Linked DNA regions of Lonchura striata. The protein of the gene in region 3 binds, or shares a complex with, the protein of the main gene of each other region. Links are inferred from orthologs where the notes say so. Each region holds a gene or a part of one and is shown on either strand. Other genes may lie near its edges.

Region 1 (7,030 bases), on a different chromosome or scaffold from region 3:
GTGGCTGCCCACAGAGCCACATCCTTCCTCGCCACCCTCCCAGCCCAGCCACCTCACATTCGGTCAGCTGCACCTACTGGAAGAGTAAAGTCCAGCTGTGCTGCCTGATGGAAAAGATTATTAGGGAGGAATTCTTTCCTGTCAGGCTGCTGAGGCACTGGCAGGGGCTGGGCACAGAAGCTGTGGCTGCCCCATCCCTGGAAGTGCTCGAGGAAAGGTTGGATGAGGCTTGGAGCAGCCTCATCTAGTGGGAGGTTCCCGTGTTCCTGTTCTGGGTGAGGCACTTTTAAATCAGGTGGTTTTTAAGGTCCCCTCCAAACCATTCTGTGCTACAGCCAGAACTCCACCTCTCCCTGGAAACATGGAATGCTGCTCAGAAACACAGCATGTGCTCCTGGTGTGAGCATTCCTGAAACATCCTGGTGTGAGCATTCCTGAAACACACCTTCCCGTGGCACCAAGCCCTGCTGGGCTTTGGCTGGTGAAGCAACCCTAAAACACAGCCAGCCCTCCCCAGGTCCCAGACAGGCCACAGTTTAGTGCAGTTCAGTGCAAGCTGAAGTGCTACTGGCCCACGAGTTTGAATAAAGATGGATTATCCTCTCTCTGGAACAACAAAGGGCACCCAGGGCACCAGGACATTTCTGTTGCAGCCCCACCACCAATTCCTCCTTCAACTTCTGCCTGTCAAAGACAGAATTGCTGCAACAGGGTGTGGTGTCTGCCCGACACCCAGCACGTCCAAAAGGTTGGGGTTGCTGTGAACTTCTCTCCCACAGCCTGGTCCTTCCTCCCCTTTAGCAAAGCAGAAGAGTGGAACAGTTTCACATCACTACTTTTGGCCATCTGTTTTTAAGGGTGTAGAAATTGGCAAAGGACATCGAATGCTCCAAATAATCATTAGGTGTTAAAGATCTGAAAAATATCCTTTGCTTTCTGTTGAACTCCCCAGGACAAAAGCAGAGCTTGAGAAGGAGAGTTGCAAAGTGTATCTATCACCGGGTGATAATATACAATATGCTCAACATGTATGTACTGTTGTTTACCTGTATCCCCAAACTCACCCAGGGTTTCAGGTGTGGAGAGCATTTCCTGGCTCCCACACATCCAGCAGGACAGGAAGAACTTCCCATGGTAAGCCTGGGACATCATCACACTGCCTGGCTGTGCACCCCTGGTAGCAGCAAGTCTCACAGCAGGAGGGGAACGCAACATTTTCATGCATTTCACATCCTCCCTGTGCTCCTGAGCACTCTGACCTGGGCTTGGAAGAAGCAGACAACCAGCTGTGCCCCAAGCCTAGCTCACCAGCTTAGCAATCCCTGCTCCCTGGGAAGGCAGGAGCTTACCAAGAACAGGCACTATCCATCCCCACTGATGCCACACGAGGTGACAGCAAGGGTGTGGGGTGGCCCTGTCCCCTCCAGACAGCCCTGGTGAGGGCAGGGACACGGGGGCTGCCATGAAGTGAGCACGCAGTGCTTCACAGGGCCATGGCTGGGATCCACCATCCAACTGAGGATGCTGGCAGGATGCTTCAGTGCCTGCTGCGTGCTCTCCCTGCTACAGGCAGGGGATTTCTGGGCAGTGAATCACGCAGCTGCACCAGCAGAGCACCTCAGCTCGCAGAAGGGCACCCAAGGGTCCACAGCAATAGCAGCCCCTCTCAGAGGAGCCTCTAAGCCCTTCCTGAGGGCTGCCACCAGTCCCTGCCGGGCTGTCCTCCTCCCATCCTGCTCACACAGCAGCCCCACGGGGCTGCCTGCACGCACCAGCACCCACAGCCGCATCCTTCCTCTCCAGGGCTCGTCACAGCCCAGCCTGTGACACAGAGCTGGCTTTGAGGCCAGCGTGCTGTGAGGCACAGGGAGCACAGCCAGACCCCAGGGCAGCCCCTCCGCCCTGACAGCCCAGAGAGACCACCCAAAGGTCCTAGGAGATGGAAAAAGGACTTCTTGGGACACCGGGGCAGATTGCTCCTGGCCATGGCAGGCCTGAGGCACAGGCGGTACCATGGAATGGTTTGGATTGGAAGGCACCTTAAAGACTGTCTGCTTCCAAACCCCTGCCAGGGGCAGGAATATCTTGCACCAGCCCAGGTTGCTCCAAGCCCCTTCCAACCTCATCTTGAACACTTCCAGGGACAGAGCAGCCACAGCTTCAATGTGCCAGGGCCCCACCACTCTCCCAGGGAAGAATTTCTCCCTAATATCTAATCTAAACCTGCTCCCTATCAGTGTGAAGCCATGTCCCCCTGTCCTGGCCTTTCCCCAGCCCTGTGTGCTGCTGTCCAGAGCTCCTCTGCCAAGCACAGCAGCCCCTCCAGCCACACACTCCCACCCAGCGCCCCCAAGATGCCCTCAAGACCACGGGTGTTATACTGGAGAGGGGGAAAATGGGTTGGGGGGCTGCTACGAAGTCCCCCCATGCTGTAGCCAGGGATCCGGCCCATCCCCTTGCCGTGGGCACAGGGTGGGAGCAGACACAGGGAATGGGGTGATGGGGAGAACAGTGATGAGCATCCCAACACCGACCTTCGAGCAGAGCTGGGGGGCTGCATCCCCAGCTCCGGGCATTGATTGCCCTGTTCTCCCGATGGTCCCCAACCCCCGGGGTGGCACATCCCGAGGCGGGCTCTGTCCCCGGCCGTGCTGCATCCCCACTTCTTGTCCCCCGGGAGGGGGGACCGCTTCCCCTTCTCCCTCTGGGTTAGCCCCCTTGAAAGGGGGAACGGCTCCTCTTTTCCCCCCTGTTTAGACCCCTCGGAGAGGAGGACCGGCTGCCCTTTTTCCCCCCGGGAAAAGCCCCAGAGGGACACGGTCCCCATCCTCCCCCCGCGCCATCCCCGGCACGCACCGCTGGTGACCCGCTGCAGCCCCAGCACATCGTCGGGCCCGATGAGCGCCTTTCGGCCCAGCTCCTCCTCGGTCCTGGCCGCCGCCGCCCCGGCCGCGCCGCTCTTCTTCACCTTCATGGCCCCGCCGCCGCCGCCGCCGCCGGTGTGAGCGGCCCCGGCCCCGCTGCGCGCCGCCGCACCGGGAGGGGCATCGCCATCACCGCCCCCGGCCCGCCCCCGGCCGCGCAGCGCCGCCCGGCTCCGCGGGCACGGGGAGGAACGAGGGCGGAGGAGGAGAGCGGCCCCTGCACGCCGTTCCCCGGCGATCAGGGCAAAGCCTTTCTGCTGGAGGAGGCCGGGGTCTCCCTTCCTGCGAACCCCCCCCGCCATGGGGGTCAGCCCCCTCGGGTGAGGTGAGGACAAACCCCACACCTGGCCCAGAGCAGGGCGACACCCGCCCCAAGCACCCTGACCGACACACGATGGACCCCGCTAAGGTGGGCTGCTCGCAGGGGCTCCACACCCATCGTCGGGATGGACTCCAGGAACTGCCCCCCCAGGAACTGTCCCCCCTCCCCAACTAAGTATTTTTGGCTAAATACCCGTAAGACAGGAGCCAGAGCCCATAAAGCAATGGAGTGGGGGCATGAAAGCTGGGCCAGGGGAAGGCAGGGCAACAGGTACCCCCAAGAAGGCTAAAGGAGGTTCACACAGCCCTACATCAGCCCCCCAAAGAGCAGGGGGTTCTTTATTTACACAGCAGCTTCTTCTGATTACAGCACCAGGCTGGGGGTACACAAAGGCAGCACCCTCCCTCCCCTCTCTGCCCCTGTGGGTGCAGGAGGGCTCAGCACCCAAAGTGAGACCCCTTCCCACCTCCCAAAGCAGCCTCTCTTCCTACTCCTGCATCCTGGCCCTGGCACACCCAAGCCAAGCAGCCAAGCCTGGACCCTGGGGTGCCTTTCTGGGCCATGAGTCTGTGACAACATCATCCCACAGGGTGGGGACAGCCCCAAGCCAGGGCACCATGGCTCAGTCCATCTTGGTGGGCTCCTTCTTACGCAGCCTGGTCTCCCGGACAATCTTGGCCAGGGATAGTAGAATTGGAACAGCCATGGGCAGGAAGAGCGGGATGTAGATGGCAAATTTCTGGTCGTCAGGGAAGTAGAGGAGATGAAGGAGAGATGGATCAAAGAAGGCCCTCTCCGAGGAGGTGACAGCCTCCTTGCTGGCCTGGAAAGCTGCGAGCAGGTGGCCCAGGGACAGCTCGGTCACAGCGCTCTGGACCGAGGCCACTGCCCGGTACACCTGTGTGGGCACAACATCAAGGGTCAGTCCCTGGCCAGGGAGGGCAGCAGGGACATTCAGCCCTCTCTGCTCCCCCCCTCAGGGTGCCCCAGCCCTACCTCAGAGGCAACATCATCCTTGATGACGATGTTCCCAATCTTGTCCAGGAGCTGGGCCAGCGAGGTCAGGGTGGTGGACACAGTGGCGATGTTCTCCACGGTGTGGGCCCACAGCAGGTGGTCCAGCTCCCAGTCAGCCAGCCCCTCATTCCCTGGGCTTTCCAGCAGGAACTCGGGGGGCACCTCTTCCCAAGACAGCCCAAAGAGTAACCTGGGAGTAGAAGGGATGATCCCAGCCCACATCAGAAGCCTTCATTTCCATTAGCTCCTTGCTCTCCTTCCCTGTTGTGTTTAGTCCCATTCCTGCCAAATTGTCTCCTGGAAGTGTGGCATGATAAGCCAAGCCTCCTACTTGAGGAGATGAGAGATGTGCCAGCATCCCTGGCCACAGAGCAGTGATGGCTAGTAGCCAATACCTCGAAGGCCACAAAGAGCCACCCTCAGCCTCCCAGAGCCCAGGGAGTGAACAAGCTGTTTGGGTACAGCCTGTTCTGACCCCGCTGATTTCCACAGAGGCCTGGGGAGGGAAGAACACATCCTCACCGGAGCTGGGCCAGGAAAACCTCCATCACTCGTGCCATGTCCACATCCACATGTAGAGGGAGAGAGGCTTGGGGGGAAGCAGGGGCTTCAACGTTGTAAACCTGCAGGAATGCGTGTTAATGAGGCATAGCCAGGGCCTCAGGGCCAACAGGTGGGAATGGGGAGCCACCACCTTGTCCCAGCACTGCCAGCGCCCCCATGGTTCCCATACCATGATCCCACCCCAGCGAGGGCTGTGGAAGGCGTTGGTGCTCACTAGGGCTCCATCCTTGTCCTGAATGTACAGAGGGGAGTGGGAGCGCTCTGGCACATACAGCAGGAAGTTCAGCACGGGATAGAGTGAGGCAGCACTGGAGCCTGCAGTAGGACAGAGTCACAGAACTCTTGTGGCTGGCAGGAACAGCGAGAGCAGCCCACAGCTCAGCTCCTCCTTCACAGCCACCCCAGCAGCTCTCACATGGGCTGGGGGGAAAAGGAGCCATGGTCCCATGAGACAGATCCCAGTGAGCCACGAGCACAGTGCTCACCCAGACGGGCCTCCACGGGGTTGATGACATGTGGGAGGCTGTGAGCACTCAGGAGGAAGCTGGAGGACTCCTTGTCATAGCGTGGTGTCACTCCTAGGACGGCGTAGTACAGGATCTGCAGGCACACAAGGGACACATTGCTGGCAAAGAAGAGCATCCCAGAGAGGTCAGGTCTGGGCTTTCCCTGCCATCTCTCCCAGCCCTCACCTGTGAATCCACAGAAAAGTTGGCCACCAAGCTCAGTTTGTCCAGGACAGGCTTCACGAAGCGGTTCACAGCCCCCTCAATGTCCCAGTCCACGGTGTGGGACTTGGGGTCAGGGTTCAGCAGACTGAAGGTGATCTCATACCCTGCAAGGACCCATAGCTGTGAGCCACTGAGGCTGTGACAGAGCTCCCAAGAGCAGCAGGGCCTGTCCCCTCCTCCCTGGCCCACCCCAGTGTGAGGTGACACTAACACAGCAATCGCAGCCCAACCCTGACCCAGAACAACAGCTACAGACCAAGGGATCTGTTAGCCCAGAAGACACCCAGGGGTTCCACAAGCAGAGCAGGAATGGCACTTCCCCAGGAGCAGATGGCTTTCCCAAGGCCAGGGAACAGGGATGGAGAGCACATCCATACCCAGGCTGGATTTCAGGTTCCGCCGTGCGTCGAAGCTGAGCTGACCGTCGGGCACACGGTCCGAGAGGACGGCGGCGATGGAGCTGGCCGTGAAGGACATCACCTGTGTCACCTCCCGCAGCCGGGCCTGCAGGGCAGCCAGGCTCCCCCCAGCCCTCACCAGGGCGCTGCGGTGCTTCCCCACGTACGCGTTGATGCCCTGGGGGTGGCACAGGGTGAGGGCTGGGAGCAGAGCCCTGAGAACAGCACAGTGCCACCTGTGCCACCTCCCAGGGGTGAAGCATGTAAAGGCTGGCACCACAGGGTGCTGCTCCCTACCTGAGGCAGGAGAGAAGAGGTTTCAGGGACCACATACATGGTCAGAGAGCCCAAGGTGGTGTCCTGCAGCAGGTACAGAGCAGCATCAGCCTCTGGGGAAGATGGAAGCACTGGCAGGGGTGGGAATTTCACTCCAATCCCTGTCTCACTCTGACAGAAAGCAAAGTGTGTTTTCTGCTCTGCCAGCCTCAGGAAAAGGAGCTCCCCAGCAATTCCCTGCTCCAATACCTCGTGCAGTCGCCGCAGCCAGTGCTGCCTCCTCCTGAGCCGTGGTGCTGCGATAGCGCATCTCATAGCGAGACGTGATGCTGGTTCTCACTGTGGGGCAAACAACCCGAGTGAATCTGCTGATCTCGGGCCCCTCACAGGAGCCTGGTGCTCACAGGGACAAGGCACAACCCCAGGAGGACACATGGCGCGAGGTCCTTTGGGTGCCAGTGAGATGAAGCACTATGGGATGTAGCATCACTGGTCCACACTGGTAGTGAGACAGCCCCACACCAGCCAGACACATCCCAGCCTCTGAGGGCTGCATCATCCCCATCCCCAGGCGATGGAGCTGGTCTCTTCCCTGCAGCACCCCGGGACCTCGTTGTGCCAGTCCCTGCTCCCAGCACTGCCAGCTCAGGACAGGGTGATGCTGGTGAATGGGGCTCGGGGTCCCGGGAGCTCCGGGCTGCCGGTGACTGAAGCCACAGGCAGGGACCCCCACGAAAGGATGCAGGCACTCATAAGGAATAGACGGGGCAGGGACACACAAGGGGGTCTCTCACGGTT
Region 2 (5,633 bases), on a different chromosome or scaffold from region 3:
GTACTTCAACTGCAGCGGCGCGGGCGCGTGCGGCGTGCCAGCCTCCTGCTGCCGGGCGCCGCCGCGGGCCGGCTCCGTGCCCGATGCCCGGTGCGGGTTCGGGGCGCTGGCACCGGGCGTGGCGGCCGGGGCCCTGCTGCACACCGGGGGCTGCGGGGCCGCGCTGGCCGCCTGGCTGCGGGGCCAGGCCGGGGCCATCGCCGCCGGCGCCACCGCCCTGGTGCTGCTGGAGGCCGTGGGAGCCCTCCTGGCTCTGAGGGTGCTCGGGGAGGTGACGGCCGTGAGGGCACCGCAGGGATTGGGATGTGCACGGGGCGGGTTTGGTCCCAAATAAACCTTGTTGGAAATACTGAACCCCTCTGCGTCTCGTCTGTGCCACCGTCATCGCCGTGGGTGCTGCTGCTGAGGGTGTGCAGGGACAGTGCAGCTGTCTGGGTGGGGATTTGGGGGTGTCTGGGGTGCTGGTCCACCCCAAATAAACCTTGTCAGAATCCTGAACCCGCTGGTGTCCTGCCCGTCCCACCCCAGGCCCTGGGGAGCCGCTTTCCCTCCTCGCCAGCTCACAACATTGACTCCTGTGCTCATTAGGGTTTAATGAGGATTTTTCCAAACTGAGCCCCCTGACAGCATGGGCAGGGGGGCCTCGACCTACATAGCACTACAGGGCTGGTGAGCTGCCCAAATCCTAAATGATTCCGTACTGAGCCAGCTCGTGCAGCTCCAGGTGGCTGAAGGCTTCCCAGGGACAGATGACGGTGATGTCTGCAGAGAGAGAGGACAGAGCTTGTGGCAATGTGAGCCCTCCCCAGCCCTGCTCCCCGCTGCCACAGGGATGCCATTCCCATACCTGTTCCCAGCCCCTCCATGCCCGGGATGTCATCACCAAACCTGCAAGGAGAGAGGAATTGTCTGGCCTGACCCCAGGCAGGGCCCACCCCCTTCCCGGGGCCCTTCCCCACTCACCCCTGCACCCCCTTTTTGGGGGGTTTGCTCTTGAACTGCCTCGTCTGCCTCTGCTTGAACTTGGGGGGTCCCTTGCGGGGGGTGGCAGGACCCCCGCTCACCCTCGTGGCCGATTTGACCTCCAGCTTGGGAGGCTCCAGGCTCATGGCTGGGGGGAGGCTGACAGCCCCGGGGCTCTCACGGCGTTCCCCCAGAGCTCACGGTGTTCCCCTGGAGCTCACGGTGTTCCCTGTGGATCACAGTGTTCCCCGGAGCTCACGGTGTCCACTGCGGATCACGGTGTCCTGCAGAGCTCACAGTGTTCCCTGGAGCTCACGGTGTTCCCTGTGGATCACGGTGTCCCCCTGGAGCTCACGGTGTCCCCCAGAGCTTATAGTGTCCCCTGTGGATCACAGTGTTCCCTGGAGCTCACAGTGTCCCCCTGTGGATCACGGTGTTCCCTGTGGGTCACGGTGTCCCGTGAAGCTCACGGTATTCCCTGTGGGTCACGGTGTCCCCCTGGAGCTCACGGTATTCTCTGTGGATCACGGTGTCCCGTGAAGCTCACGGTGTTCCCTATGGGTCACGGTGTCCTGTGGAGCTCACGGTGTTCCCTGTGGATCACGGTGTCCTGTGGCGCTCACGGTATTCCCTGTGGATCACGGTGTCCCCCGGAGCTCACGGCGTTCCCTGCGGATCAGCGCTGCCACGGGACAGCTCCTCACCCCCCTGGTGGGAAATGGGGCCACCAGCTTCTCCTCCACCCGCCCCAGGTGGGCTCTGCAGAGCCCCCTCCCCACAAGGCTGGCTCAGCCTGACCCCCCAAAGGCGGGAAGGGCACCCCGAGGTGCTGCTGCTCCTCCCTCCTGTTCCCCATCCCACCTGGGACCCCTCGGGCACTGCCAGGACCCTGCAGGGTGTGCCCAGGTCTGTGTGGGGGTGTGGTGGGTACCCCGGGCTGGGAAGGGGGAGCAGGGATGGCCCCTAGCACCAGGAGTGGGAATTTTGTGGCCAGAGCCCCGCTCTGGGATGGGTTTGGGGGATCTGGCCCTGCTGCAGAGCAGGACACGGCCCTGGGAATTAGGATCTGAGGCAGGGAGGTGCTCCTGGATGTTCCTGGGCGCAGGAGGAGCAGCAAACGACCCCAGGTCCCCTCCCGGAGAGCCCCGACTCACGGAGTGCCGCGATTCCCGATCCCAGAGCTGCTCCCTCCGCCCGGCCCGGCTCCCTCCAGCCCAGAGATGCTCCGGGACTTTGTGGGGAGGGAGATTTATCCTGCCCGGGGGTAATAGGATTATTTACCTCCCTGCTTTCCCCAGGGGTAATCCCGTGTCCTTCCCCTGCTCTGGGGGGGGGAGGAGGTGTCAGGATTAGCTCTGCCCGTGCCGGTGGGCAGCGGATCCCACGTGGGGGAATCCTGCTTCCCATTCCCAAAGAGATTCCCCCAGTGTCCCCTGATCCCAGAGGGAGCAATGGGACCCCCATTCCAGGCTCCAGCCCAGCCTGGGTGGGGGTCCTGATACCAGAGAGGGTCCAGCAGCCCCTGCTCGTGGCTGGTGTTGCTCCAAAGCTTCCCTAATCCAGCAGTAAAGCAATTAAAAATGGACTAATCTCGGCACACTTTAATTGAACTTCAGCCCCTACCACTAATTGCAATTAGTTGGGCTCCAACAAATAGGATTAAAGGGATCCAGGAGCGTTTTCCATGGAGAAACACCTACTTCTCTGGCAGAGAGCAGAGCCTGGCTGTTAATTGGGGTTCATTAGTGACACCCGAGGGCTGGGTGGCTTCCTGGGGACTTTGTCCTGGGATGACGTGCAGGGGTCTGTGTGGGTCTCAACAGCTGCGAGTCCCCCGGGATTGGAGGGGGGAATTTGGGACAAGTTTCTGGGGATTGAAGACGGAGGCAGAAAAGGCACCTTGCAGAGCAGCCCGGCAGGATGTGACACCAGGGACAGGGCCGGTGTCCTTGACAGGAGGCTGCTGCTGCCCACGTGCTCAGTGCCACACGCTGCCCTCCAAGCCCCCACGGAGAGGCCCCTAAGAGGCTTTGTGGTGCCAGTGGGGAGGGGTCTGGCACAGCCCTCCCCATCACCAGGGCATGGCCAAGGTGCTGAAAATCTCCCCAAGGTGCTTAAATTCCAGCTGGGAGCACAGGAGGAGGAGGGCTGGGGGGCCGCCCAGCCTGCCCTTGGCAGGGATTTGCCATGCTGGGGAGGGCACAGCATCCAGCTCCTGGGAAATCCGGGGCTCAGGACAGCCCTGAGTCACCGCCTGTCCCCAAGGACAGCTCCCTGTGAGACAGGAGGTGACCTGGCCTCGTGTGACACCCCCGGGATGCCGTGCTCAGCACACAGCAAACACTACAGACAACCCAGGCCCGGATCCTGCCACCCCAGGGGTGTCCCCCCCCGGGGCTGGGGAGCCCGGGGGAGGCTCAGTCCTTCCTGGCACGCAGCCTGATCTCCATCCTGAGGATCATCTTGATGTTCTCGTCCTCCACGTGCTGCTCCACGGCCGCCAAGGCCTGGGCGCCGCCGTCCCGGTGCCGCTCCAGCAGCTCCTCCACGTATCCCACCCAGACGCAGTTGGGGCAGCCGGTCCCGCAGCAGTGGGTGGGCGGGGGGGGCATCGGGGGCGCTGCAGGAGGGTCCCCCCTGTCCCCATGAGGGGTGGCTGTCCTGCTGTCCCTTCCCGGCGTGCCCGAGGTGCCCCCGGCCTCTGCTGCGGTGTCCGAGCGCTGCCGGGGGCTGCAGGCGGTGGTGGGCTGGGGGGTCCCCCTGGGGCCGCCTGGGGGCTGCAGGAACCGAGACCCCCGTGCTGGTGCCAGCCTGGGGGGCACGGCGGGGCTGCTGCACCCCCAGCTCAGCCACAGGAACCCCTGCTCCCAGGGTACCCCCACTGCCACCTCCAGCACTGCCCTGTCCCCTTCCAGCACCCCAATTCCTGCCCCCCACCCCATTCCCTGCTCCCAGTGTACCCCCAGTGTCAGCACTGCACAATCCCCCTTCCAGCACCCCAATTCCTGCCCCCCACCCCATTCCCTGCTCCCAGTGTATTCCCACTGTCAGCACTGCCCTGTCCCCTTCCAGCACCCCAATTCCTGCCCCCCACCCCATTCCCTGCACCCCCATCCCCATCCCCCTTGTTTTCTCCACATCCCCCAGCCCCAAAGCCCCCCTTGTCCCCTCATGTCCCCCACATCCCCCCTCGTCCCCCGCCATCCCCAGCACCCCCCCTGACGCCCCAGTACCCTCACGTCCCCCGGTCCTCGCTCACATCTCACGCCCAGCACCTCTTTGCCCCTCCCGAGGACTCCCCCCGTGTTCCCCGTGTCCCCCGTGTCCCCCCGTGTTCCCGGTCCCGCTCACCCCCCGGCGCGGCCCCGCCAGCCCCCGCAGCAGCATCCGGCCGCAGCGCCCTGGCCCCGCCCCCGCCTCGACTGACAGCTCTCACAGCCAATGGCAGCCCGGCGCGCTCAGCTGCGCGGGAGTGGCGGGGAAGGCGGGGCCAATAAGCAGCAGGGGGCGGGGCCGGGAGCCGGAAGTGGCGGCGGAACGGGCACATGAGGGGTGGCGGAGCCATGGCCCGGGGACCGGCCCGGGGCCCGCGGCGAAAACCGGGACCGGGACCGAAACAGGGACAGAGACCGGGACAGGGACAGAGACCGGGACCGGGACCGAAACAGGGACAGAGACCGGGACCGAAACAGGGACAGAGACCGGGACCGGGACAGAAACCGGCCCGGGGACCGGGACAGAAAGCGAGACCGGGACTAGGACAGGGACGGAAAGCGGGGCCGGGACAGAAAGCGGGGCCGAGATCGGAGCATGGCCCGGGCGTCCCGCTGCGCAGCAGGTCAGTGCCCGCGGGATCCACTCGGGGCCGCTCCCGGTTGGGACCCGCACCCACGCGCGGGGGCCCTGGCGGGGGTCCCGCTCTCGGCGTCTGCGTCCCGGTCTCTGCCCGTGCCCCGGTGCCGATGCCTGCCCGTGCTGACTCCGATGCCTCGGTCCCGGTGTTCAGCCATGCCCAAGTCTCAGTTTTCCACCGTGCTCAAATCCCAGCATCCTTCCGTACCTGGATCCCGCTGTCCCGGTGCCTGGGTCCCGCTGTCCCGGTCTCCAGGTTGTGGCGCTTCCCTGGAGTCCTCTGACTGTGCTTTTTCCTCAGGAAGGAGAAGAAGGACAACATGAAGCCCAAGCACCCCGAGGAGCAGGAGATCCCGTTCCGCCTGCGGGAGCTCATGCGGAGCCGCGAGGCCCTGAAGCGCCCGGAGCCTGGCAGGAGGCAGGCGGCAGGTGGGACCCGCAGGTGGCCCGAGCAGGTGGCCAGGAGCCTGTGGCATGGCCAGATCCTGCCGTGGGACATCCTCTGGTGACGTCCCACCCGTGCTCTGCCAGCCGGGAGGGACCCCCGCCGTGTCACCGCTGCAGAAATGTCACCCGTCTCTCCTAGAGAAGAAGCAGCAGCAGAAGTCCAAGGGCCCCAAGGCCCCGGGGGACATCCCCGTGCCCAGGTTCCGGAGGGGCCGGGGCGAGTCGGAGCGTTCCTACATCTGCCGCATGGAGCAGGAGGTGCAGCGCGTCCTCTTCCTCGCGGAGAACCAGCTCCAGAGGGAGCCTGAGAAGGAGGCAACAGCTCCAGAGAAGTCCAAAAGGAAAAAAGAGTGAGAGCAAGGCCCTGGGGC
Region 3 (7,243 bases):
GCGCTCCCCCCCTCCCACGGGAGGTGGTATTTATTTGTAGGCTGTACGTAGTCACTGGGGTGGTGTACCCCCAGCTCCAGGGAGGAGCAAGGACCTCTGGGGAGGAGCAGGGACCCTTGAGGTGGCTGCAGTCACCATCGCTGTCGTCCCCCCTGCCAAGGACCCCCTAGTCCTGTTGTGCAGGAACCATGGGTCAACACAGCCCCTCTCACAGCTGGGGCATGGCACCGTGCTGGGGCATGGATGTCCTTGTGAGGGAGGGGAAGATGCCCTGGGCAGGGCAGGGGGGTGAGGCATGGGACAGGCAGTGCCAAACAAGGGCTGCCCACTGCAAGCTGGGCATGGCCATCATAGTTTTGTGCCTCAGTTTCCCCACAGGGTTATGGAAGAGCAAGTGCTTTCTGTAGGGAAGCTGTAGACCACCAGGCAAGCTGAGGAGGAGGGCCAAGGGTACACAGCTCTGTCCCCTCCCTGGGGGCTTGGCAGGGGTGGGATGGGACCTCAAGGTAGGACCGAGGTGTTCAGCCAATAGTGGGGTCTTGGCCCCAGGGTCTTTGGATGGAGAAGGGAAGGAGAAGGGGCCATGCTGGTGTAAATCCTCAAGCTGGTGCTTGGTGACAGCGGCACCCAGAGGTCTTTGGGGCACCCAGCCCATCAGCCACCCCGACGGGTGTGGAGGGCTGTAAATAGTTGTACATGGGGAACACAGGGGTGACCAGGGCTGAGTGAGTGCCCCCTGCTGCAGCTAGGGGCACTCCCAAATAAACACTGGCTTTGGGACAGACCTGTGTGTGCTCTGTCGGGGACAGACCTGGTCCCCACCAGGAGATGCCCTGAGCCCTGCCGGGGTGCTTGCCCTGCCCCGGGGGGCAGTGGGTCCCTGGTGTGGGGGCAGGACAGTCTGTGGGGATGCTGCTGCTGGGTGTGGGGGTACATGGGCTGGGCTGGTGGCTGCCCCACCGCTGCGTGTTGCTGAAGGCACAGGGAGCACTCAGAGTCACTCCTGCGGGCACAGGGAAGCGCTGGGCACCCTGGGGCAAGTACTGGATATTAGGATATAGTGGTGGGAGTTGGTACTTGGTGGTACTGGGGGCATGGAGCAGGGGAGGAACTACAGAGGGCACTGGGGGTGGTAGTGGATGATGCTGGGAGCACTTTGATATGGGGGCTGTACCAAGCTCCTCTGAGTAGTCCCAGGAGGTACTGGGGTCAGTTCTGAAAGGGCCTGGGCTGTATCCAAGGTTGTACTGGGCACACTGGAGTTTGGTACTGGGAGGACTAGAAGTTCTGAGGCATTAGGATTTGGTAGTAGGAGCTGGTACTTGGTGGCACTGGGAGTAGTGGTAGGGAAGTGGTAATGGATCTGTAGGGGTGGCTGGGGCTGTAGTGGGAAATACTGGGCTGTAGCAGGGCACTCTCTTCAGTTTTGGGGTAATGGAGGTGATACTGTGCTCCTCTGTCGAGTCTGGAGAGTCACTGGTGTGAGTAGTGGGGGTGTGCATGGCTGTACTGGGGGCACTGGGCTGTACTGGTGTGTACTGGGAGCTGTGCTGGGCTGTACTGGGCTGTAGTGGGCTGTACTGGTCTGCACTGGTCTGTACTGGGCTGTACTGGTCTGTACTGGGCTGTACTCGTCTGCACTGGTCTGTACTGGTCTCTATTGGCCTGTACTGGGCTGTACTGGTCTGTACTGGGCTGTACTGGGCTGTACTGGTCTGTAGTGGACTGTACTGGGCTGTACTGGTCTGTACTGGTCTGCACTGGTCTGCACTGGTCTGTACTGGGCTGTACTGTCTGTACTGGGCTGTACTGGTGTGTACTGGGCTGTACTGGGCTGTACTGGGCTGTACTGTCTGTACTGTCTGTACTGGGCTGTACTGGGCTGTACTGGTCTGTACTCGTCTGCACTGGTCTGTACTGGTCTGTACTGGCCTGTACTGGGCTGTACTGGGCTGTACTGGGCTGTACTGGGCTGTACTGGTCTGTAGTGGACTGTACTGTCTGTACTGGGCTGTACTGGGCTGTACTGGTCTGTACTGGGCTGTACTCGTCTGCACTGGTCTGTACTGGTCTGTACTGGCCTGTACTGGGCTGTACTGGGCTGTACTGGGCTGTACTGGTCTGTACTGGGCTGTACTGTCTGTACTGGGCTGTACTGGTCTGTACTGGTCTGTACTGGACTGTACTGGTCTGTACTGGGCTGTGCTGGTCTGTACTGGGCTGTACTGGACTGTACTGGGCTGTACTGTCTGTACTGTCTGTACTGGGCTGTACTGGGCTGTACTGGGCTGTACTGTCTGTACTGTCTGTACTGAGCTGTACTGGTCTGTACTGGGCTGTACTGGTCTGTACTGGTCTGTACTGGTCTGTACTGGGCTGTACTGGTCTGTACTGGGCTGTACTGGTCTGTACTGTCTGTACTGGTCTGTACTGGGCTGTACTGGTCTGTACTGTCTGTACTGGGCTGTACTGGGCTGTACTGTCTGTACTGTCTGTACTGTCTGTACTGGGCTGTACTGGGCTGTACTGTCTGTACTGTCTGTACTGAGCTGTACTGGTCTGTACTGGGCTGTACTGGTCTGTACTGGTCTGTACTGGTCTGTACTGGGCTGTACTGGTCTGTACTGGGCTGTACTGGTCTGTACTGTCTGTACTGGTCTGTACTGGGCTGTACTGGTCTGTACTGTCTGTACTGGGCTGTACTGGGCTGTACTGTCTGTACTGTCTGTACTGTCTGTACTGGGCTGTACTGGGCTGTACTGTCTGTACTGTCTGTACTGAGCTGTACTGGTCTGTACTGGGCTGTACTGGTCTGTACTGTCTGTACTGGTCTGTACTGGGCTGTACTGGTCTGTACTGTCTGTACTGGGCTGTACTGGTCTGTACTGGCTGTACTGGTCTGTACTGTCTGTACTGTCTGTACTGGGCTGTACTGGGCTGTACTGGGCTCCGCTGGGAGCTGCACTGGGCGCTTTCGCCCTCTGGCGGCCGAGCGGGGCACTGCAGGAGAGCCGCGGCGCGGGGAGGGAGCGCTGGGGACAAACGGGACACGGGACACAGGGACACAGGGACACTGGGCTGTGTGACACAGGGACACTGGGCTGTACTGGGGTCACTGGGGCAGTCCTGGCAAGGCCTGGACTCACCGAGCTGGGGGAACACCGGGGAGTTACTGCCATGCTCCTTGGGAGTCTCAGTTTTGCTGTGGTGGCCGCAGTGGCAATGGGGAGCACTGGGGACATTGAGGGGACACTGGGAAGGCACACTGAGGGACCCAGAGACATTGTTGGGGGCTCACTGCGGTTGGGGTGGCGCACAGAGGTGGCACTGCAGTGTCCCTGGATGTAGGACAGGGTGTTTTGTGACTGCTCACGGTCACTGGGATTTCTTCCGTAGTCACTGGGGAGTGTTACTAAGAGGGGCTTTGGAAACCCTGAGGAGGGTGTGTGGGTATCCCTGGGGACATCGTGCAGGTGTTGCTGGGGGGCCTGGGAACGCTGTGGAGGTGACACTGAGCTGGCCTGTGGCACTGGGAGTGTACTGGAGGGTGGCTGGGCAGGCACACTGAGTGCACCCGGGGGGCATGGGGACATTAGTGGAGGGTTCTGGAAGGGTCCCTGGGGACACAGGGTCTTGTGACTGAGCCTGACATTCCATCACTGTGGGCAGTGCTCATGGAGACACTGGCATGGCTTACTTAGTGGGCACTGGTTCAGAGCAGGGGGTGTGACCAGGTGAGATGGGGACAATGGGGCATTTGCTCCCACTCTGACCAGATCCCAGCAGACACACCATCCCACGCCCCAGTTCCATACCCCTGGAGTCCACAGCAGAGCTGGAGATGGGTCTGGGTCCCATTTCCCGCAGGGTGGCCGGGTCACCGCCCCGGCCCCAGGGTGGAGGCAAAGCTGGGGCTGGTCGGGCCGGGGCACCCCCCCGGCAGAAGTGCTGACAGCGGGAGCCACGGGATTGCTGAGCTCAGCCCGCCGCAGATTGAAGGGGGTTTATCGGGGGGGCCCAGCTTAAGCCCCGGGTGCTGAGCACAGCCCCCCGGCAGGCAGCCCCGGGACCTTGGCCCCGTCCTTGTCGCACACCGGGCGGGCGGCAGCGGCGGCGGCGGCGGGCACCGGGAGCGAGCGCTGGAGGCGGCCGGAGGCTGGAGCTCGTTGCCCATCTTGGTGCTGACCTCCAAGGAGCGGGTGGTGAACCGCAGGGCTGCGGGGCTGAGGATGGGAGCCGGGGCCAGTGCCGAGGAGAAGCATTCCCGAGAGCTGGAGAAGAAGCTCAAAGAAGATGCTGAGAAAGACGCCAGGACTGTCAAGCTGCTGCTGCTGGGTAAGAGGGAGACAACACCCTGGGGGACATACCCATCCTTTGAGCATCTCACCCTAACAGCCCACCCAGCGCGCCCCTGAAACCTACCAGTGCCCCTCAACCTAACCATCACCCCTCAACCCCACCAGCACACCCCGTAACTGCCCCCGAACCCAACCAGCCAATCCAACATTCCTCTGCCCCCCAGATGGACCCCCAAACCCAAGCAGCCCACGCTCACAGTTCATTCAACATTCTCCTGACTCACGTAGGATTCTTAAAACCAAGCAGCTTACCCCAGCATCAACCCCATTCCCAGCAGCCCTAAACCAAACCTCCCCATCTCAAGAGCCCACCCAATGTTTCCCTGATGCCTCTGGCACCTTTAAACCAAACCAGCACAACCCAGGAGTGTCCCCAACAGCCTCCCACTCCCAAGCATCCCTAAAACAACCAACCCCTCCCCAGTAAAACACCCAAAGTTTCCCTGACCCCACTCTAAACCAAATCACTTCAACAGTCCCCAGGCCCCTGCTCCTAAGCACCCCTAAACCCAGTCATCCCACTCTAGCAGTCCTCTGACCCCCACAGCACCCCTAAAGCAAACCAGTCAATCCAAAAAGCCCACCCAACGTTTTCTTTCTTATTTGGCACCCCTAAACCCAATCAGCCACCCTAACAGCCCCCCCCCATTCCCAGGATCCCCTAAACCAGCTCATCCCAGCTTGCTCAACACCCCCTACCAGGCACCCCAAACACAACAGACCATCTCAACAAGAAGATGAGATCTTGAGGTCCTAAGATCCACCCCAAGATCCCCTGGCTTCCACATATCCCTCAGCCCAACCAGCCCACCTAACAACCCCCAAATCCCAGGTCCCCTAACCCCAACCAACCCATCTTAAGAGCCTTCACCAACTCCACCTATCACCACTCCAGCCCATCAGCACCCCTGCCCCATCCTCCTAGGGACCCCTATGCAGCCCATACCACCACCCCATGTCTGTCCCTGGAGCCCCCTTGTGCTTTGTGTCCCTCCCAGTCCTTCCCAGTCCCCAGTGGTGGCTGAGGATTGGGGTGCCGTGTATGTGGTGGGGCCATGGGTGGCATCACTATCCTCACAGCCTGGCCCAGGAGGCATCTGTCTGCACAACCACAGGTTTGGGGCATTGGGTGATGGGTGGCAGGGTTGCAATGCCACCATGTCCCCAACCCCTCCCTTGGGTTCCTGAGAGTGTCCCTGGCTGAGCTGCTTCAGATCCCATGAGACACAGCAGCTCAGCCTAACCTTAATGCCTCTGGCACAGGCTGCTAATCCCCCTGCACACCCCGAGCCATGGACCCAGCCCAGCCAACAGTGCCTGCAGCCGTGCCAGGCACCAAGGCTCTCAGTGAGCCAGCACGGGGCTCAGCTGGGAGTGCCCATGGCATGGGCACCACCATGACCCATGTTTTGTCCTCTTAGGAGCAGGGGAGTCGGGGAAGAGCACCATTGTCAAGCAGATGAAGTAAGTGCCATGGGGGGGGTCACTTGATCATGCCCACCGTGCACAGTGTCTGTCCCACACTGCAGCCATGGGGTGCCCTCTCCATGGGGTGCCCTATCCCACTGTGCCTGACTCTGCCCCCTGCCACTGCCATGGGGCGCATCCACCGTGTGGCTCAGCTCCACGGCACCCAGCTCAGCTCCACGCCTGTGATCTTCCCCGGCCAGGATCATCCACCAGGACGGTTACTCGCTGGAGGAATGCCTGGAGTTCATTGCTATCATTTACAGCAACACGCTCCAGTCCATGCTGGCCATCGTGCGGGCCATGACCACCCTCAACATCCAGTATGGGGACACCGCTCGCCAGGTGAGGAGTGTTCCATGTTGGGCAGGGTTCCCCACAGTCCCCAGGCCCCACTGAACCCCTCTCCCTCACAGGACGATGCCCGCAAGCTGCTGCACCTCTCGGACACCATCGAGGAGGGGACCATGCCTAAGGAGATGTCAGAAATCATCGGGCGCCTCTGGAAGGACTCGGGCATCCAAGCCTGCTTCGACCGCGCCTCCGAGTACCAGCTCAATGACTCTGCGGGCTAGTACGTGGTCAGGGAGCGTGGTGGGGGGGGGAGGCATGAGGGGCGTTCCAACCCGTGTCTCATGCCCACCGCGTGCCTGGCCAGCTACCTGTCAGACCTGGAGCGCCTGGTGACCCCCGGCTACGTCCCCACAGAGCAGGACGTGCTGCGTTCCCGCGTCAAGACAACTGGCATCATCGAGACCCAGTTCTCCTTCAAGGACCTCAACTTCAGGTGGGGGTCAGCCCCCAGTGAGGGCTGGTGACAGGGGGTGGGCAGGGGGAGGGGGTGCTGACCCTCCTATGTCCTGCCCAGGATGTTCGACGTGGGCGGACAGCGCTCAGAGAGGAAGAAGTGGATCCACTGCTTTGAGGGTGTGACCTGCATCATCTTCATCGCGGCTCTCAGTGCCTACGACATGGTCCTGGTGGAGGATGATGAAGTGGTGAGGAATGCTCACCATCTCACACCCCCTCTGCTTTGTCCTGGTCATGACTTGGGTGCCATCATGAGGCTGTGTCCCTCCACAGAACCGCATGCATGAGAGCCTGCACCTCTTCAACAGCATCTGCAACCACCGCTACTTTGCCACCACCTCCATCGTCCTCTTCCTCAACAAGAAGGACGTTTTCCTGGAGAAGATCAAAAAGGCCCATCTCAGCATCTGCTTCCCTGACTACGACGGTGAGTGTGGCAGTGGCTGGTGGTGGTGGGGTGCTGCTGGAAGGTTGGGTGCCACCACCCCGCAGGAGTTCCCCACCAGGTGTCCTCAGCATCCCATGCAAGTGGTGCTGCATGCGCCTTGTCGCGGGAGCATGCAAAATCTACCCACCCGAGGGAGCACTGGGTAATCCTGGGCCGGCAT

What was found.
Region 1: the proteins of GNAT1 (region 3) and UNC119 are in contact, whole or in part, in a crystal structure (PDB 3RBQ), measured with the Homo sapiens proteins. The link is inferred for Lonchura striata from reciprocal best matches to the Homo sapiens genes GNAT1 and UNC119. Residues at the interface, in NP_000163.2 of Homo sapiens: Gly2, Ala3, Gly4, Ala5, Ser6, Ala7, Glu8; in NP_005139.1 of Homo sapiens: Asp87, Phe88, Val89, Arg90, Phe91, Ile105, Lys106, Lys107, Gly126, Arg127, Phe128, Val129, Tyr131, Phe137, Val147, Glu163, Leu172, Ser218, Tyr220, Asn230.
Region 2: the proteins of GNAT1 (region 3) and PDE6G are in contact, whole or in part, in a cryo-EM structure (PDB 7JSN), measured with the Bos taurus proteins. The link is inferred for Lonchura striata from reciprocal best matches to the Homo sapiens genes GNAT1 and PDE6G. Residues at the interface, in NP_851365.1 of Bos taurus: Ser140, Arg201, Arg204, Lys205, Trp207, Ile208, Phe211, Asp227, Val229, Glu235, Val236, Asn237, His240, Glu241, His244, Leu245, Ser248, Ile249, Ile281, Phe283, Glu305, Leu306, Met308; in NP_776846.1 of Bos taurus: Arg36, Gln37, Phe38, Lys39, Ser40, Lys41, Pro42, Pro43, Lys45, Leu60, Val66, Ile67, Cys68, Pro69, Trp70, Glu71, Phe73, Asn74, His75, Leu76, Glu77, Leu78.

The regions. Positions count from the first base shown.
Region 1 is NC_134622.1:7,364,384-7,371,413, forward strand, and holds the start of UNC119 (protein unc-119 homolog A), read right to left. Parts: upstream 3,039-7,030; 5' UTR 2,975-3,038; coding exon 2,857-2,974; intron 1-2,856. Other genes in the region: GPI-anchor transamidase component PIGS, read right to left, coding at 3,869-4,144, 4,243-4,453, 4,786-4,886, 4,997-5,142, 5,313-5,427, 5,520-5,662, 5,936-6,134, 6,254-6,345 and 2 more. UniProt on the Homo sapiens protein: Involved in synaptic functions in photoreceptor cells, the signal transduction in immune cells as a Src family kinase activator, endosome recycling, the uptake of bacteria and endocytosis, protein trafficking in sensory neurons and as lipid-binding chaperone with specificity for a diverse subset of myristoylated proteins.
Region 2 is NC_134621.1:11,088,738-11,094,370, reverse strand, and holds PDE6G (retinal rod rhodopsin-sensitive cGMP 3',5'-cyclic phosphodiesterase subunit gamma), read right to left. Parts: upstream 1,110-5,633; coding exon 964-1,109; intron 889-963; coding exon 848-888; intron 763-847; coding exon 686-762; 3' UTR 576-685; downstream 1-575. Other genes in the region: TSPAN10 (tetraspanin-10), read left to right, coding at 1-334; OXLD1 (oxidoreductase-like domain-containing protein 1), read right to left, coding at 3,381-3,740, 4,315-4,350; CCDC137 (coiled-coil domain-containing protein 137), read left to right, coding at 4,509-4,801, 5,117-5,244, 5,402-5,612.
Region 3 is NC_134614.1:10,258,863-10,266,105, forward strand, and holds the start of GNAT1 (guanine nucleotide-binding protein G(t) subunit alpha-1), read left to right. Parts: upstream 1-4,229; coding exon 4,230-4,335; intron 4,336-5,779; coding exon 5,780-5,822; intron 5,823-6,028; coding exon 6,029-6,170; intron 6,171-6,241; coding exon 6,242-6,399; intron 6,400-6,483; coding exon 6,484-6,612; intron 6,613-6,693; coding exon 6,694-6,823; intron 6,824-6,908; coding exon 6,909-7,062; intron 7,063-7,243. UniProt on the Homo sapiens protein: Functions as a signal transducer for the rod photoreceptor RHO. Required for normal RHO-mediated light perception by the retina.